Macaca fascicularis: one gene and its partner. The protein of the gene in region 1 interacts with the protein of each later gene in a pairwise test. Links are inferred from orthologs where the notes say so. Each region holds a gene or a part of one and is shown on either strand. Other genes may lie near its edges.

Evidence for each region.
Region 2: the proteins of CREB3 (region 1) and FAM3C interact in a two-hybrid assay, tested with the Homo sapiens proteins (2 studies listed by BioGRID and IntAct). The two-hybrid records come from large-scale screens. The link is inferred for Macaca fascicularis from reciprocal best matches to the Homo sapiens genes CREB3 and FAM3C.

What each region holds. Positions count from the first base shown.
Region 1 is NC_088389.1:63,665,470-63,669,226, forward strand, and holds the start of CREB3 (cyclic AMP-responsive element-binding protein 3), read right to left. Parts: upstream 2,585-3,757; 5' UTR 2,385-2,584; coding exon 2,256-2,384; intron 2,163-2,255; coding exon 2,012-2,162; intron 1,941-2,011; coding exon 1,873-1,940; intron 1,759-1,872; coding exon 1,669-1,758; intron 35-1,668; coding exon 1-34. UniProt on the Homo sapiens protein: Endoplasmic reticulum (ER)-bound sequence-specific transcription factor that directly binds DNA and activates transcription. Plays a role in the unfolded protein response (UPR), promoting cell survival versus ER stress-induced apoptotic cell death.
Region 2 is NC_088377.1:162,974,776-162,978,432, forward strand, and holds part of FAM3C (protein FAM3C), read right to left. Parts: intron 2,373-3,657; coding exon 2,314-2,372; intron 1,163-2,313; coding exon 1,112-1,162; intron 1-1,111. UniProt on the Homo sapiens protein: May be involved in retinal laminar formation. Promotes epithelial to mesenchymal transition.

The DNA.
Region 1 (3,757 bases):
TCCTCCGCACACGTTTCAGAATTTGTTCCTCCATCTGAAAGGAAACAGGGAAAGGGGTATCATTAGAGGGACTCTAGAACAAGAAGTTGAAAGGCAACTGAGATCCATCTCTTTCCAATACAGAAATCCCTTCTACAGCTTCCCTGACCAATAGGCATTCACATTCTTTCTGAATGCCTCCACGGAGCACGTGTTAACCCTAACAAGCCAGACCATTTTAAACTATTAAAAAAAAAAATTGGTCAGGCAATATTCAAGTGACATGGCTCATGCCTGTAATCCCAACACTTTGGGGAGCTAAGGCAGGAGGACCGCTTGAGCCCAGGAGTTTGAGACCAGCCTGAGCAACACAGTGAGACCTTGTCTCTACTAAAAATAAATTAGCCGGGTGTGGTGGCACATGCCTGTGGTCCCTGCTCCTCAGGAGGCTGAGGAAGGACAATCGCTTGAGCCTGAGAGGTCAAAGCTGTAGTGAGCCATGATCTCACCACTATTCTCCAACCTGGGCAGTAAAGCAAGAATCTGTCTTCAAACAAAAACTTCCTTATCCTGAACCAACAGCTGTCTCCTTATAATTTCTATACGTTGGACTTACCTAGTATCTCTGGGGCCAAATAGAATGAACCCTGTTAAGCTATTTTCAGGCATTTGACATTTCCTCAGAGAAAAAAAGTTCAAGAAAAAAACAGCTTAGACAAAAATTTTAACTCATCTTCTTAGGATAGACTGCATCTTCTTAGTATCTGTCAAAGATGTGCTCTAGCCAGTATAAAGGAAAGCAAGATAGTGACTTGTGGAGACAATAACTCTTGCTACAGTTTCCAAATCCCATTAACTTTCCTAGTAGCCACATCGCACTGCTGACTCATCTTGTACTTTGAAGGAATTAAAATTCTTTACTTTTGGAGGCCAAGGTGGGTAGATCACTTGAGCACAGGCGTTCAAGACCAGCCTGGCAACAAGGCAAAACCCCATCTCTACTAAAAACACCAAAAAAAAAATTTGCCGGGCAGGGTGGTGTGCACCTGTAGTCTCAGCTACTCAGGAGGCTGAGGTGGGAGAATCACCTAAGCCCAGAAATTCAAGGCTGCAGTGTGCCATGATCACATCACTGCACTCCAGCCTGTGCAACAGAACAAGACCTTGTCAAAAAAAAAAAAAAAAATTCCTGGAACCTTTCTATTAATGAGCACTGATTTCATCATAGTATCCCAGTACTCTGCTTGTGAAGTTGCCACTGATTGCTTAAAACTGGAAACTAAGGATTTTGCATTTATTCATGTACTGCTTAGTCCAATCGTGTTGAACTCTCTAAACAGTTCTACCATTCAGCAAGAGGTGGATTACTATGAAGCCAATGAAGTGTCAAGGCCCTTCACTTACACAGTCCTTTCCAAGGCCCAATACTAATGTTGCACTGATAATTTTGAGGGTTTTTTTTTGTTTGTTTTTTAACAGAACACCAAAATTTGTGTAAGCCCAACGAAAATGAGGATCTGCCTTGCATCTAGCATATTGGGTACCTGCCTCAACTTCCTATTAGCAATAAATCTGCTAAGTTTCTCACCTCAATCCTTTTTTAAAGTTATTGATATAAAGTTAACAGAATTGGCCTACTTGAGACTTTTAATCCCTTTTCAGCCTTTGCTCAACTAACGAGAGTCTTACCTTAGTGAGAGGAAGTGTCTCAGGCAGAATAAGCCCCTCCTTCTCCAATAGACTCTTCTCCTCATCTGTCAGTACCAGCCTAACAATATCCTAGGGTAACCAGAAAGTGGGCGGCAGTTGCATGGGGATGTCACAGAGGAATGGGGAATCCTGCCCCCACCTGAGGAATGTGAGAGTAATCTTCCTGAAAATCAAGTCAAGTACCTGCTCTGCCAGCTCCTCCATATGCTGTGGAGTCATCTGGGTCCCCTCTTTTCTACAGCTCTCACTCTCTGCAAAAGGGAACGTATGAATAGCCAGGCCCATGAACCCTGTCCTCCCCGCAAACTTATTTCAGACTCACCTAGATCCATAGAGACAGGTTCTCGTGGGAGGGAGTAGGTGTGGTCATGGTGGACAAGGCAGGGGTTGGAGTTGCTGAGAACGTTCAACGACGACGCTGGGGGACTCAGCAGGGAGCTCAGCAAATCATCTACCTCCCAGTCGCTCGGTACCTGCGCAGGGTTCCAGTGAACAGGCCTTGACCTATCACCATCCCCTGACCTCATGGACATCCCACGCTTTCCCCAGTCAGAACCCCAACGCACCTCAGAAAGCGGCAGCTCCCAGTCCAGTGGGGCCCTCACGGACTCATCGGGCGCCGTCCTCAAATCTCCACTTTCCTCTAGCAGGAAGCCCAGTAGGTCTTGGTCACCAGCGTCCAATTCCAGCTCCATTTGGGACAACTACGGAAAGGGTGGGCTACCGGGCCCCAACGTCCGAAGCCCAGACACGAGCCCCAGGCCAGCTGTAGGCCTCGGGCACCTATCCACTGTCCCTCTACGGCCGGGCTTCCCGGCCGGGGGCTTTCCGTAGCCCTCTCCGGACCCGCCTCCCAGGCTCAATTCTCCTCAGCCTCCAACGCAGCGAAAGTGACGCACCCCACCCCGTGGCACTGTGGGACTTGGAGTTCCCTCCAACTGAGAAGAGGCCTGGGTGCCGCGCCACGTCCCAGGGGCTATGCAAATGTAGGGGACGGCCCTGCTGCCGCCTCGCACCCCGAGGGCGGGGGTTCCAGGGCTCCGGCTCCGCCTTCTCCCCCAAGCTAGAAAAAGGAAGAGTTCTGGCCTGAAAGGGAACTCGGGCGTCGTCTTGGCGTTCTCTCCGGATTGCGCCGCACCCTCGCTTCCTGCCAGGGAGGGGCTGCCGGCCTTTGGCGGCCCCCGAGCATCGAGAACGCGGCCAGAGCAGCTTCCTGCCTGCCCCCCGCGACCATAGAGCGCTGCCCCAGGGCGCCGCCCGCGGGTGGGGGACGTTCCCAGGACGGAAGTGGCCGAGAGAGTGTCGAAGGGAGGGCGAGGCCGGAGCCCGAGGGCGACCCGAGAAGCGGCAGGGCAGCGGGCCGGCGGGCCGGCAGGCGGGGCGCAGAGCCGGGCAGCGCAGGTAGGCCAGACCGGGCCGGGCGGGGGCCTTAGGGTGGGGCCGCGGAGCCTGGCCCCGGGGGCGGGCGGGGCCCTGCCTCTCCTGCGTGTCCGGTTCGGGTTCTGTTAGTTGGAGAGGTCAGCGTCCAGCGCATCTCAACTTGGGCTCATCGTGAAGTAGGCCGTCTTAGGGGAGACAGGCCTCTCCTGGGGGCAGTCCTCTGCCTGGGATAGGCTTTGGGGAGCGTGAGGAGTCGGGTGGCAGCGGGGCGCAGGACGGGGACGGGCTTTGGTGTTAGCTGATAGCGGCCATGTGGGTAGGAAAGCTTTGGGTGAGTTGGGGATTAGGTGGGGTCCGTTTAGGAATCAAGGGTCGCTATAGGAGTTAAAAGCTGGGGTTAAAACTTAAGAGTTAGTAGTGTGAGTCAGGTCCGTTTTAGGTAGGTAAGGTTTAGATTAAGGTCATTATTTTGTTTGCTGGGATGGCCATCATACGTCATAATTTGAGTTCAGGGTCGGGTTAAGGGTCAACAACAGGAATCAGGTTAGAGCCTGTTTGAGGGATTAAAGAATGTTGACATGGTCGGTATTAAGGATAAACAGTGAAAGTGTGAGTTAGGAATCAAGTTACAAATGAACTTTAGGCTTAGGGGTCAACATTTAGGGTTAACATCAGGCGATTTGGTGCT
Region 2 (3,657 bases), on another chromosome or scaffold:
GCCTCAGCCTCCCAAGTAGCTGGAACTAAAGGTGCATGCCACCACAACTAGCTAATTTTTGTATTTTTAGCAGAGACGGGGTTTCATCATGTTAGCCAGGATGGTCTCCATCTCCTGACCTGGTGATCTGCCTACCTCAGCCTCCCAAAGTGCTGGGATTACAGGCGTGAGTTACCGCATCCGGCTACATGGATCTTATTACAAGCTGAAGATATGTTAGAAAAGCTAAATTATCTGAGAACTCTTAACATGAATTTCAGGAAGCCTAATAGCTGTTGGCTTCTAGGGAATATATAAAAGGAATGGGGAGGTGCTGAGGAGATCCTCATACTGATAAATCTCCCAAATTACAGAATCGAAAGATAAACCAGTGTTGGCCTCCCTTCAAACTTGAGAGAAAAAACCCATCCTTCTGGGCAGCGTTCTTCTTTGGGGTGCCAGTCCCTTGCCTCTACATGCTGGTAACTTCTTCCCACTCCTTGTGGGACTTCCAAATATGGAAAGGGAAAATATCTGTGGATTGCTTTACATCCAGTTAACAAGAAAGAAAATTCTATTTCTTCCCTCAAATATTCATCTACCTAAAAAATTAGCCACAAGTCAGAGGGTAGAACTGTGATGAATAATAGGATTGCTTTTCTAAAACTGATAGTTTATCATGTCTTTCTAATGCTCCTAGTTATGATATTTTTAAGACTGAAAAATCACATGTAAAAAAATCAATTTCCATCACTTAGGAATGCTTACATTGGTTATTCTGGTTTTTGTTTTTTTTTTTTTTTTTTAATTTTAGACAGAAACCTAAAGGAGCCCCAAACTTTTGAATTGGTTGTCCTGTAGAAAACAAGATGAAATTTTTTTTTAAATCTCAATTTTGATATTACTGTCTTCAATTACATACCACAAAAATTTTCTTCTAAGAAGAACAAAGTATATAAAACATGAATGATAACTTAAATACAGCCGGACATTTAGTGAACAGAAAGTAAGGGAAACAAAATGAACTAACACAAATAGCATCATCATTCTCTCATTAATGGACTACATTGTATTGAGGTGATTAAGTCAGTGCCAGCAAAAGAACACAGAGTCATATGTTATTTACACTTACCTCCTCCCCACATGTCAAAATATTTAGTGTCTAATACTTCTCCTGTTTTTCCTAAAAGAGATTAAATTCATATCAAATTATGCATCTGAAATACATCATACACTGTAAAACCAATAATCTTATCCAATGATTGATGTGAATTCACTAGCAGAGAAGGAATTACTTTGAGAACAACTTAAAATCTGAATCATACACACCTGAAATATATTTTTAAAGAGTAATTTTTTAATACAACTTTCTCATTAATCTTTTAAGCCAAAGGATAAATAGAAGTTTATTACTGACTGTGGACCATTCCAATTCAGTTAGATATATGTCATCCTTGTTTCCATATTCTGTTAGTTTAAAAGTAAATCTTTTACAGAAAAGAAGTATCTCCTTGAATCAGATGCCATTTTCTACATTAAATCAGTTTTTACAATAAAATTTACATTAACTTGCTCTATAAAATGTATTTTTTGCTATTAATGAAATAGACAAATAGATGCTGAACCTTTTACCTAAGGAAATGAAGAAAGTAGAAACATAAAAATTTACCTCTTGTTGTGAAAGTAGTAAAACATATTTTTCTACTCTATGAAACTACAGTGGTTTCTAACCATCCTATATATCTTATAACCATCCTACACAGCTTTATGGAATACTTATTGTACCAGAACAGAGAAGATCAATATGCAGTTAGGCTTTACTTCATGGTTTCAGGTTTTCAGATTTGATTTTGAAGGAAAATTTGAGATGTTCAGGATGCAATGAACTTATTCATACTAATTAAGCTATCAGAAGAATGTGGCCGACAATGAAAAATTACAATAAATTCTTATTCTTTGTTCCTTCGCCTACACCATTTAACAGTCCACTATCCTTTGTCATTTTACACACCTTTAATCCTGTCAACCTATCTTCCTATTATGTTAGGATTGCAAAATGCGAAGCAAGATTTTATCAATGTGATGTGATGTTAGACTGCTTGTTTTATGACAATCTCATGGGAAGTTCTTGCATAGCAAGTTAGGATACTTTCAAGCAACACACTATAAATTCTTAGACACCAAGTCTCCACCTATAGATTTTTTTGTGGGGCAGGGATGGGAGAGAGGGCTTTATCATCAAGAGCAGCACTTTCTAACCTGATCCTCTGATACTGCATTTTACTTCGGGACAGAAAAATGATTACATCCATAGGCTAAAATAATTGTTCTTACCGTTTGCCAAGGCAACATTGATCCCTCTTCCAACATTATTCTTAACACCACTCATTAAACTGAAGGGGGAGAAATTGAAATAAATTTAGAATTAAATATTGTACAATGACATATCAGAAAAATAAAGTCTTGCAAAAAAGGTTAGGAATATTATACACATTTTCAATTGTTCAGTGCTGCAGAGGAAATTAAAAAGATCTCTACTAACTCAGAGAAGACAGTCTAATACTGAATAATTTTAAGGCAATGTCCTTAAATAATATTTCACAAATAGAAATATATATTAAACAATATTAGGCCTGAAATAATAGACCATTTTTGTGCTGCACTGCTTCAGATTACTCTTAAAACGTACATTAAGCACATATTCTGCCCCATTCTTCAGGTATCAAACAAAAGATAATCTCCTTTCTGCTCTCTTCAATACCAGCGTGACATGAAACAGAAGTGAGATACTACCCCCATCTTTTAAAATCTAAAAGCTAACAGAGTGAGGGAGCACTCTTTCCTGAATGTTTTACCTAATTGTGAACATTCTCCTAGTGATTATCACCGTAAAGTTCCTCCACACTAAGAAGAAATATTGCACTCATGAAATTACGGCATTGAATAACAGTCACTTACATGGTGACTACCTGAGATAATTGACTTCCACGGGCAGCTCTGACCACTAGATAAAGACAATGACACTGTAAAATGTAAGGTACCGGTGACACATTTGCTGGTTATCAGTTCAGTTTGTTCAATTGCTCAAATCAGAGTTATTAAACTAAAATTGTGAGTTCTTTTAACTCAAAACTTCAAGGTAATAGTAATACTCCCAGTGGTGTGCTGTTAAATATTTAACAACTGGTCTGTGTTTAGGAGAGAGAGGCAATATGCAAAATGTGACAACACGTGCACACACATGTCCATATATTGACAGAATCATATACACACATAGGCACATAATTTATTATAAATTACTGATATGAAGGATGTATAGTGCACAATTTCACAAATAAAATCTACAATGTACTTTATTATAAATCTCAGTCAATTGATTCTCACAGAATGTTTTAGTTGATTTTTCAAACAACTCACATCAGCAGCTAAATTATGGTTGCAATTGATGAATGAGCTCAGTTCTAACAAATGTTGGATCTATGCTAATGGGTAAGATAAAATAAAGAAAAACAAATAATGAAGATTCATGTTAAAATTCCACTTGCCTGTCAATGATGACTGAATCAGATAATAAGTTTTCAAATACTGGAAGACTACTTCCTATATTTTTGGTGCTATCCACCATTTAACAGATATAGATATGACATATTTTCCAATTTAATCTGCATAATATTTTCT